Linked DNA regions of Schizosaccharomyces pombe. Changing the gene in region 3 together with the main gene of any one other region gives a genetic interaction. Each region holds a gene or a part of one and is shown on either strand. Other genes may lie near its edges. The genes, in order: clp1, dnt1 and cdc14.

Region 1 (3,600 bases), on a different chromosome or scaffold from region 3:
ATTATGTCAATTTAAGGAATATTACCAAAGCTGGTATCTTAAAATTACGTATTATACAGATGGCTTAACAGACTATTATCCGCTACATAGCGTTACTGAAAAAAGTTTTATTGGGATCATCTTTTGGGCTTCCAAACTTATCCTTCTCCATTTCTTTATCATGGCAAAAGATAAAAAAGACCATAAGCATAGTGGAAGCACCGAAGATGAGTATGATTCATATCTTCCTGCTTTAATGCCAATTGCTAAGCCTTTAGCTCCTAAAAAATTGAACAAAAAAATGATGAAGACTGTCAAGAAGGCTTCGAAGCAGAAACACATCCTTCGTGGGGTCAAAGAGGTTGTAAAGGCTGTTAGAAAAGGAGAGAAGGGTCTTGTAATTCTTGCTGGTGATATTTCTCCCATGGATGTTATATCTCATATTCCAGTATTATGTGAAGACAATAATGTCCCTTACTTATATACTGTTTCCAAAGAGTTGCTTGGTGAAGCATCAAACACCAAGAGACCTACTAGCTGTGTTATGATTGTTCCCGGTGGAAAAAAGAAGGACATGTCTAAAGTTGAGGAGTACAAGGAAAGCTACGAGGAAATTATAAAAGAAGTACCTGCTCTTGAAGTTTAATTGTTCAATATCTAAAAGATGCTTAGCCATTTAATGTAGATTATTATATACTATTAAAATTTGGTATTTATCCTGGGATTTAACTTTTGGTATATCATGTCTGTTTGCTTGATAGTAAGCGAAAAGAAGTTTTGCTTAATGGTCGGTTTTAAGGTTTCAAAAAATTTCCTTTTTAATCTAGTGTTTTATCATTCTTTCTTATGCCCTAGTATTTTATGGGTTTAGACTGGTTTGCGAGCAAACTAATCACTATACCTCCAAAACTTTGTTAGCAATAATATCGTATCATTTACCAACTTATATGAGAATGGTATATCGCTGTAACAGCGATGAAATATCAACTGATTTTTCCTCAAATTTCGTTTACGCTGATCGTTTCATTACGGATTTAGCCTGTGTTTATTTCTAACTAGTTGCGCAAAAAAGTTTTATTATTCGTTTAGGTTGCTATTTAGTATTCAGAGGCGGCGTGTTAGAACCAGTTTACAACTAACTTAAATTTCACCCAACGTCGTTCTTACCATTATAATGTTTACAAATATTATGCTTTCCAGTGCTATCCATAAATGATAGATTAGGGTAGCTTTAAAGGTCCGGCAATTATATGGTTATCTATCCGGATTTTGTTATCGGATTTAAATATATTTGCTAAAACAAATCGAATTTCAGATAAAAAAGTTGGGTTGTATTTGTATGAGCAAAAAGTATTCTGTATGTTTATCATAAATTGATGTGCATTTTTACTTACTTTGTAAGATAATGATTATTGTTGTTTATTTACTATAGTGTTGCTAAAAGTTAATGTCTTTTTTTTTTTAATAAAGAGAAAAGATTAAATGTCAACATAACGTTGTGTATAGTTTAGAATCCACTTTTGTCTTCATTTGTTTCGCACCCCACATATTTTCTTGTGCATTATCATCCCTTCTATTTACAAGGACCACCAACACCCAGGTACACAATTTAGAACTCAACCATTACGGGTTTGACGAATATAGACGAGATTCGCAATTACTTGTCTGATGGATTACCAAGATGATGGGCTTGGTGAAATGATTGAGTTTTTGGAGGGTATGCATGAAGTTTAACTCAAATATCTCGTAAAATTGATTAACATGTTAAATAGACAAGTTATACTACACATCATTGTCGCAACCACCTAAAGCCGAGTTATATCCTCATATGCATTTTTTTACTATCGATGATGAATTGATCTACAACCCTTTTTATCATGACTTTGGTCCGCTGAACGTGAGTCATCTTATTAGATTTGCAGTGATAGTTCATGGTATCATGGGAAAACACAGACAAGCTAAGAAAAGCAAGGCTATAGTTTTATATTCTTCTACAGATACAAGGTTGCGTGCAAATGCCGCTTGTTTGTTAGCTTGCTACATGGTGTTAGTACAAAACTGGCCTCCACATCTCGCATTAGCCCCTTTAGCTCAGGCAGAACCTCCTTTTTTGGGGTTTAGAGATGCGGGATATGCTGTTTCAGATTACTATATCACGATTCAAGATTGTGTTTACGGACTGTGGAGAGCACGAGAGAGCAGCATACTAAATATACGTAATATCGATGTTCATGACTATGAAACTTATGAAAGAGTGGAGAATGGAGATTTTAATTGGATATCTCCTAAGTTTATAGCATTTGCAAGTCCTATTCAGGCTGGTTGGAATCATGCGAGCACACGTCCAAAGAAACTTCCTCAACCGTTTGCGATAGTTCTCGATTATTTCGTCGCTAATAAGGTCAAACTGATAGTTAGGCTTAATGGACCTCTTTACGATAAAAAGACTTTTGAAAATGTTGGAATTCGACATAAAGAGATGTATTTTGAGGATGGCACAGTTCCAGAGCTTTCTCTTGTCAAAGAGTTTATTGACCTTACCGAGGAAGTAGAAGAAGACGGTGTGATTGCTGTTCATTGCAAAGCAGGGCTCGGACGTACTGGATGCTTAATTGGCGCATATTTAATATACAAACATTGTTTTACTGCTAATGAAGTTATTGCTTACATGAGAATAATGCGTCCTGGAATGGTTGTAGGTCCACAACAGCATTGGTTACATATTAATCAAGTTCATTTCCGTGCATATTTTTACGAAAAGGCGATGGGAAGAGCAATCCAACAGGCCACCGCTGCGGAACCCTTAGCTACTCCTCCTCGCCATCCATTGAATGCTACGAATGGTACCTCTCAAAGCAATATCAGTACTCCTCTTCCAGAACCAACGCCTGGCCAACCGAGAAAAGTTTCTGGACATAATCCACCGTCGGCGAGACGTCTCCCTTCAGCGTCCTCTGTCAAATTTAATGAGAAACTTAAAAATGCTTCCAAGCAATCAATCCAAAATGAGAACAAAGCGTCATACAGTAGTTACGAAGATTCAGAAATACAAAATGATGATGAAACACGGACTGTTGGAACTCCAACTGAAACAATTTCAGTGGTTCGCTTGCGTCGCTCATCAAGTCAAAGCAATATCGAACCAAATGGAGTTCGTTCTCCGACATCCTCACCAACTGGTAGTCCAATTCGACGTACAAGTGGAAATAGGTGGTCTAGTGGGTCTAGTCATTCTAAAAAAAGTGCTCAGCGAAGTGTTAGCATGTCATCACTTAACAATACTTCTAATGGCCGTGTTGCTAAACCTAAGCCTTCTAAAAGCCGGCTAATTTCTTAATAAACCTGTAATTACTGGTTTAAATGGCAGTTTTTACATTCCTTTTTTTCATATAAACTAACTTTGAATTATACTGTGTCAACCCTGCATAATTTTTCATTAATTAACTTTACAAATATTCCCTGATTTAGCGCACCTTTGCGCGGTGGGGATCACCACCATTAATGTCTTAGCTATCCTTTTTGTTAACTAACATTCATATTTCTTTGGAAAAAACTTTGGCTTTTTGCAAGCCATGGTTAATGATTTTAATCGAGAAATTGTTTTGGTTATGATATAAAAAG
Region 2 (3,836 bases), 1.4 Mb from region 3:
TTTGCTAGCTAATTAACATGTAATTTTATTAATAAGTCAAAATTATGCAGAAAGCCAAGAAAACTAAATTTATTATATACGCAATATGATAGCACAACAACGCTATTACAGAATTCTTTTGCTATTGGACTTATGATGAAAAAAAAAAAAAAAACGAGCGTAAAGGGAGTTAATCAAAAACAAGAAATTTACACTAGGGCCGCCAAGCCAGCCAAAGCACTGTTTCTTTTGGCTTTCCTCTTTTTCTTTGTATTTAGTACAGTACTTGCTCTTTTCTCAACGGGAATAGGATTGGATCTATCTTCCTTCTCCGAATTGTCGCTTTCATCTGAAGAACTCCCTGACTCTTCACTTTCAGAAGATTCATCAGAACGCCCTTCTTCTTTTGATTCCTGCATACTGACCGCGGTCTTCTTCGTAAGAGAAGGTTCTCTAATTTCAGGAGAAAACGTTTTAGACAATTCTGAAAGACGTGAGTAAGACAATGTCCTATGAGTCTCCGGTCTTTCCGTAGAAGGCTTAGCTTTAGGTTCCTTCGGGGATCCTTTGGTTCCTCTATTCTGTATCTCGTGAGATACAGAATTTCGTTGTTGTGATTTCTTCTGTAGTTGACTTAAAGGAACAGAGGAGTCCGAGTCTGAATCCGAATCTGAATCATTTTCAGAACCAATCTCATCAGAAGGTTCATTTCCCGCTGCAGATATCGTCGATGTAGTAACAAGGGTCTGGGAAGGAGGGGGAAATTTGCTTTTACCATTCTCACTTTCTTTATCATGCTTAGCTGAAACGTTATCATTAACCAGAGATTTATTCGGGCTATCAACCTTCGTTAAATCATCACTAGTATCTGAATTTTCGGACGGGGAAGAAGATATAGAGGTCGTAGAGGATTCAGAAAGGGTATCGTTCTCCGATTCGGTGGTATCGTTTTCGGAAGGAACGGCAGTGGATGGATGAGATGAAGTTTCTCTAACTATTATTGCAGGAGCTCTAATTTCATGCTTTGCCTCCGTTTCTTTTTCATCGGATACATCTGATGAACTGTCATCATTGACTGAATCTTCATTTGGGCTTTCAACAGAAACTTCTCGAGTAGAAGAACGCAATGATTTATCATCAATTCCATCAATGGTTTCACTTTCTTTAATTAATGCGGCAGGAGAATGTTCGACTAAATATTTTCTATCATTATCTTTCATGCGAAGACGGGAAGGCGATGATAAAGTTCGCAAGGGAGCATCTGACGATGAATCAGAAGACGCATCGTTAATTGAAAAAAAGTTAGCTCGATTATAAGTTGTTGGTTGACTTGGTGTTAAGGAACTATTGAAGGATTGGTGATTATCATCTTCCTCCTGAGTAACTGATAAATTAACTATACCGTCAGCCTTTCTATCTTTATCTGGACTTTCAATTTCTTTTAAAGCAATCCCTTCGGTTAATGTACTTTCATTATCATGATTTGAAGAAATTGAGTATGCTCGATCGCGAATACTAGTTGGTCTGTATACAAATCCAGGAGAGTTCGCATCAATTGCCTCTACAAAATTTTTTTTTGGTAGTTTTCGAGGGTTTTCACTCTCATCCGGATGCGTACGCTTCCCATTGATTGCATGAACACCATTAGATGCACTTTGGACAGTAGCGAAATCATTTTCAACGCCATCTAAATCATGTTGAATATTTTTTTCTTTGAAGTTTATCATAGTCCCATCTAATTTCTTCAACGGAGAAGAGAATGATTCGACAATGACCTTGGAATTAGTGGGAAAGATTTCACCGACTAAGTACTCATTAGGAATGTCGTAGCTTTCTTCATTTTTTATATTTCTTATGTTTATATTTCTATAATAATTTTCGTTAATAGTAGAAAGATGGAGCATGCTGCTATGCTTACGATTCAAAAGGATAAAGTGATTTGTAAGTTTCCTGCACTTTTTCTTTTAATAAAGAAATTGAAGAAGATGGGTCAAACAGAATCATAAATTGATTATCTTGTTCACCATCTTTGATTATATGAAGCCTTAATGTAGTTCTCATTTCGAATATTCAGCAAATTTCTTTATTTGATTCTTACGGAGAAGTGGATCCGGCAAACTAGTTATAATGGAATTAATCAGTATTAAAAAGACGTTAAAACAAAGTAAGTTATTTAAAATGGAATGCCCATTTCTTGACACCAATGGGTATCCAAAGTTGGTTGCTCTAAGGAAGTGCGTAAAGTTCTATTCGCAATTTACTCGGCATGACAGCAGGAAGGGTGGGACAGCAGTGATGAACAAGTTAAAGGTGTAAAATAATGCTAAATGTCAAGAAATAAAAACTCATTACTCATTCCTACGACTCGAGCATATTGACACGTATCTTAAGGTTTTATGGTCCTTCCAAATCTAACGAAACATATTGGCTTAATATATCTTCCTTTCAATTGCGTGAATTAACATTTGAATACAAGTAAATAAACTATCATAGATTAAAAGAACGACAGATGTATTAGTCAGAATTAAAGAATATTCAACAGAAAAGTAGTTTGACGTCTCAGAATAATTTCTATAGGTTGTAAATTAGCTTAAAGCAATTAATTGGCAGAAAAATTAAATGATAGGAGTTATCTATTAGTAAATTGTTAATTCTCCATATGTAAATCCGGATCGAGGAACATTATTGTTTGACCATTGTTTGTAGTTAAAAGAACACCAAGGTCTGTATATTCCTGTATTGTATTTATTAAATGATCTTCAGTAAAACCCTTAGCAAGTACGCGTTCACGAATAGCACGTAGTGTAAGTGAGCGTTCATTGCCTTCAACATCTGGTATGCTATTAAGCATGTCTCGAATAATTTTATATATTTTCGAGGTAATAGTAGTATCGTGAGAACTAGGATCCAAATCATCGTATAGTGATGACTTTGAAACAGACATTAATCTCAAAGCTTCATCAACATCGCCAATCTCCACTCTATTACTGAAACGCAAACGAGCTAATGCTTGTCCCATTCGCAAAATAGCGAGAAGTGTACGTGGAGTAGTGTGAGCGAATTGACGCTCATTGGCTTCATCACGCTTTTGGTTTTGTCGAAGTTGAACATAAGCACCAGTAACATAGTCGCATACATCCTTTGGTACGACTGGGCGATATTGTCTAGCAGAAGAAATATAATGCCTAATCATGTTTGGATCTAATGGTTCAAAGTCCATTTTAGGTTGTTCGTTATGCATGTGAACATATGTTACGTGTTGTGCCAAATGCTCGTCTGTTTCACGAGAAGGAGTATCTAAAATTAAAAATAAAATATCAAACCGGGAAAGCAGTGCAGCTGGAAGATTTATATTGTGGATTGGTGCCACTTTCGGATTATATCGTCCATATAAGGGGTTCGCAGCGGCCAAAATACTTGTTCGAGCATTTAAAGTCGTAGTGATTCCTGCCTTTGAAATTGAAATAGTTTGCTGTTCCATTACTTCATGAATTGCTGTACGGTCACTTTCATCCATCTTATCAAATTCGTCAATGCAGCAAATACCGTTGTCAGCAAGTACTAAGGCACCTCCCTCTAAAACCATTTCATCCGTCACTGGATCACGCATTACAGCAGCAGTTAAACCAACACCTGAAGATCCACGACCTGTGGTGTATACTCCTCTCGGGGCAACCTTCGAAATATACTTTAATAATTGAGATTTTGCGACACCAGGATCACCAGTTAAACAAATATTTATGTCACCACGAATTCTCATTCCATCCCCTAACTCTTTAGTAACACCTCCGACAAGCAACAGAAGTAAAGCTTTTTTAACATCTTCATGTCCATATATCTCGGGAGCAATGGACTTG
Region 3 (3,836 bases):
ATTTCTCATTCAAAAATTAAACAGTTCTTGATTTAATTTCATCTAATACCTTATCGCAACCGTGATAGTATAATAAATTTGACTGTTTACGAATACCAAAGTTTGTTTGTGTCATTACACGATTTTTCTCAAAGAATCCTCCTGGTTTTTTTAACCAAATTGTTTAAATAATAGTTTCTTTTTACTATATAATAGTATTCTTTTGGATCTCTTGGAATTATCTGGCAATTGGGTTTTTTGCTTATAGTTGGGTCCACTTCACAAATATTTGAGATTTAACGACATCTATTATTTCTTTTTTAATCCAAAAATCCTTATTTATCACCTTTTCTGCTGTTTTTACAGAAAATTGCGGAGATTAACTTTCTTTGTCTCGACTTTGAATTATCTCCTTGTGGGGATTTGGAATCTGTAGCTGCCTTTTCACCATGGGATGCATGTCGAGTAAATACGCTGATACATCAGGAGGAGAAGTCATTCAAAAGAAGCTTTCAGATACGCAAACCTCAAACAGCTCTACAACTGGAAGTCAAAACGCTCGAGTTCCAGTCCTTGAAAACTGGCTTAATATCGTCCTGCGTGGAAAACCACAAAATGTGGAAAGTTCTGGAGTACGCGTAAAAGGAAATTCTACTTCAGGTGGAAATGACATTAAAGTTTTGCTCTTAGGCGCCGGTGATAGTGGGAAAACGACCATTATGAAGCAGATGAGATTATTGTATAGCCCCGGTTTTAGTCAAGTAGTTAGAAAGCAGTATCGAGTGATGATTTTTGAAAATATCATCTCCTCTCTATGTCTTCTTCTTGAAGCTATGGATAATAGTAATGTCTCTTTACTTCCGGAAAATGAGAAGTATCGGGCAGTTATCCTAAGAAAACACACTTCTCAACCCAATGAGCCATTTTCTCCAGAAATATATGAAGCTGTTCATGCCTTGACATTGGATACCAAACTTCGTACGGTGCAAAGTTGTGGTACCAACCTCTCTTTGTTAGACAATTTTTATTACTATCAAGATCACATTGATCGAATTTTTGACCCACAATATATACCTTCTGATCAAGATATCCTTCACTGTCGTATCAAGACGACCGGTATATCAGAAGAAACATTTCTGTTAAATCGTCATCATTACCGATTTTTTGATGTAGGAGGACAGAGATCAGAGCGCAGAAAATGGATTCATTGCTTTGAAAATGTCACTGCATTGTTGTTTCTCGTTTCTTTGGCAGGTTACGATCAATGCCTTGTAGAGGACAATTCAGGAAATCAGATGCAGGAGGCGTTATTATTATGGGATTCCATATGTAACTCTAGCTGGTTTTCAGAATCAGCAATGATACTTTTTCTAAATAAACTTGATTTATTTAAAAGAAAGGTTCACATTTCCCCCATCCAGAAGCATTTTCCTGATTACCAAGAAGTTGGTTCAACACCAACATTCGTACAAACTCAATGCCCTCTTGCCGACAACGCAGTTCGAAGCGGTATGTATTACTTTTACTTAAAGTTTGAAAGTCTTAATCGCATCGCTTCTCGTAGTTGCTATTGCCATTTTACCACAGCTACAGACACTAGTTTGCTCCAAAGGGTAATGGTATCCGTTCAAGATACGATTATGTCCAACAATCTACAGTCACTTATGTTTTAGATGAATTTTTCCTTAACTATCTTCATAATCTTTTCTGTCTCATTTCTCTACTTTCATTCGCACTCTAGGAAAAGCCTCTATACTTTTCCGTGAATGGTGTCTCTAGTTAATTTCCTTGCATTTTGTATGCACTTCATGTGTTATTTCTCCATCGAAACTGTTAATTAGTGCATTCTAATTGTTTTATTTCATAGCTTCTTCGAAGCTTCGTGTAATCTTATATTGTTTTAAATAGCTCAAAATTAACTGCAGTTTTTGTTATTTGATAATTTTACGATTAATACATAACTATTGTTTAATTTAATATCTAAATTTTTTCATGTCAACCGTTTGAGACAAACTAAACCCATTGATATTAATATAATTAAATTAGGCGGATTTGATCGTAAACTAAATATAAATCTATAAGGACTCGATGTTGCTTGTTTTGTTATTTTAGGCCCCTTTTTCAAATATGGCTCCAATTCGCCTGTTAATATTCAATTGTATCCTATCTTAGCAAGCTGGTGTTTTCTCTCCCAAAACCTCAAGTTTTAGAAAATAGCAATTTAATGTAGCTGCTTCAACACTCCACCCTACTATTTATATCATTACTAAGAACGAATATAGAGTCTCTTTTTTATCTTTAACTAAACGAAGATTCAATTTACTTTTATTTATAATAAGGATTTTTATTGCCCGCTTGGCATGAGTAAATAATGATCCGGTATGGAAGATCTATTAAACAATGCTAAACAGCATTTGTGTATGAGGAATCCAAAGCTAATTCGAATTGGTTTGCGTCAAGTCGAATCTATTGTATATCATGTTGCGAAACCTAGTCATGATGATAAAATTCCAAGAGAAATTTTCCTAAAATTACAGGATTCACCATTGTATAATTCTACTACCCCTTGCATTTACGCTTTGGACAGTCTCCTTGAATATCAGCAGAATGAAGAGGCATACGAAAAAAACTTTCAATTCATTCAAAAGCTAATTGATGACTTACTGCATGTGATTGAAGGATTGGTTTTAATCCATCCAAAATCACAGACGTTATTTGAAGATAAAGCTACCTTAAGGTTATTTATTCATTTATTACAGCCATCTCAGCCATCTATGTTGCAAGTGGCTGCAATGAAAACGCTTGTATGTATCATGGCAGATCGTCCACTGGCTATTAGGCTTTTTGAGCAGATTAATGGCTTGCAGCAGATATGCGTAGTTTTTAAGCACAAACAAACAAGTCAGGACACCCGATTTCAAATTCTCGAATTTTTCTATTTCTATTTATCCCCTGAACCATATTCTATAGATGTCATTGCCTACAGGAAAACGCGGACTGAGAAACAAGCTTACCTATCCAAATATCTTTCTAACGTACAAGGGCTTCGAGATGATTTAGATAAGTTTCAACCATTTGGCAAGTTAGACGAAACATTCGACTAGTTAGATGCAATGCCTGGTGCAAAAAAATGTTTAAAGTCTCATTGTTAACTTATTTTTGAAAATTTAGTATTCATTTACTAAAGAATTTCTAATGTTAATGTTAAATTATTAATCGATCATCTTACTATTGAAAGTATTCCAGCATCCTATAGCATTTGTAAAAAGTCAACCAGTTTTACTTTCATACTACTAAGAGATCCCAAACCTCCAGAATCCAGCTAAACGAACTGTGAAGACCGACAAAGATTCCGTCCCAACATGTGATATCAACTAAACTGCGTCCCTCCCCAATATCGTCTCGACGACGCAAAAAACTGAAAGAAGGAAGTCTTTGTGTGTGGGCCAAAGATGACACATTTGCACCGATACTAGAGGATATCTCATACGAAGGAGCAGTTCCTATATTTGAAGAACCCGATAACGAAGAAATGTTAAAACTGGGGGATGCAAACGTTCCATTGCTAGAGGAGGCTGTTGTTTTTGAACGGGAGGAGGAGTAGTCATTCTTTGTATTGAAAGAAGAAATCCTTAGAAACTGGACTATATGAAGAAACTTTTCAGAAATAAAACTATATCGCAAAATCAAATCTAACTGATTTGGACAAGTAGCAATAATCGCATATCTTCGAAGTCCTCCCCGGGCAGAGGGATCTCTTAAAGAAAAAGACTGACTAATAACGTAACCGTTATCTTGGTCTCCAAAGAACAAAGGATTTGACATAGAATCGGAAGCTTCAGATAGTGTTGAATATT

What was found.
Region 1: mutations in cdc14 (region 3) and clp1 are lethal when combined (synthetic lethality), as found in Schizosaccharomyces pombe (2 studies listed by BioGRID, with this or other methods).
Region 2: of cdc14 (region 3) and dnt1, a mutation in one rescues a mutant of the other (synthetic rescue), as found in Schizosaccharomyces pombe (2 studies listed by BioGRID).

The regions. Positions count from the first base shown.
Region 1 is NC_003424.3:4,769,707-4,773,306, reverse strand, and holds clp1 (Cdc14 family protein phosphatase Clp1), read left to right. Parts: upstream 1-1,590; 5' UTR 1,591-1,647; coding exon 1,648-1,696; exon of another isoform or gene 1,697-1,751; coding exon 1,752-3,316; downstream 3,317-3,600. Other genes in the region: box H/ACA snoRNP complex subunit Nhp2, read left to right, coding at 161-625. UniProt on the Schizosaccharomyces pombe protein: Protein phosphatase which antagonizes mitotic cyclin-dependent kinase cdc2, the inactivation of which is essential for exit from mitosis. To access its substrates, is released from nucleolar sequestration during mitosis.
Region 2 is NC_003423.3:3,715,012-3,718,847, forward strand, and holds the start of dnt1 (nucleolar protein Dnt1), read right to left. Parts: upstream 2,208-3,836; 5' UTR 2,041-2,207; coding exon 1,898-2,040; exon of another isoform or gene 1,846-1,897; coding exon 189-1,845; 3' UTR 1-188. Other genes in the region: MCM complex subunit Mcm7, read right to left, coding at 2,627-3,836. UniProt on the Schizosaccharomyces pombe protein: Negatively regulates the septation initiation network (SIN) pathway, independently of the cdc14 phosphatase clp1. May also have a role in silencing rDNA transcription. Required for maintaining the exclusive nucleolus localization of nuc1.
Region 3 is NC_003423.3:2,329,910-2,333,745, forward strand, and holds the start of cdc14 (SIN component Cdc14), read left to right. Parts: upstream 1-2,216; 5' UTR 2,217-2,360; coding exon 2,361-3,083; 3' UTR 3,084-3,264; coding exon of another isoform or gene 3,265-3,836. Other genes in the region: gpa1 (G-protein alpha subunit), read left to right, coding at 429-1,652; folliculin bhd1, read right to left, coding at 3,265-3,836. UniProt on the Schizosaccharomyces pombe protein: Has a role in the septation initiation network (SIN) required for cytokinesis.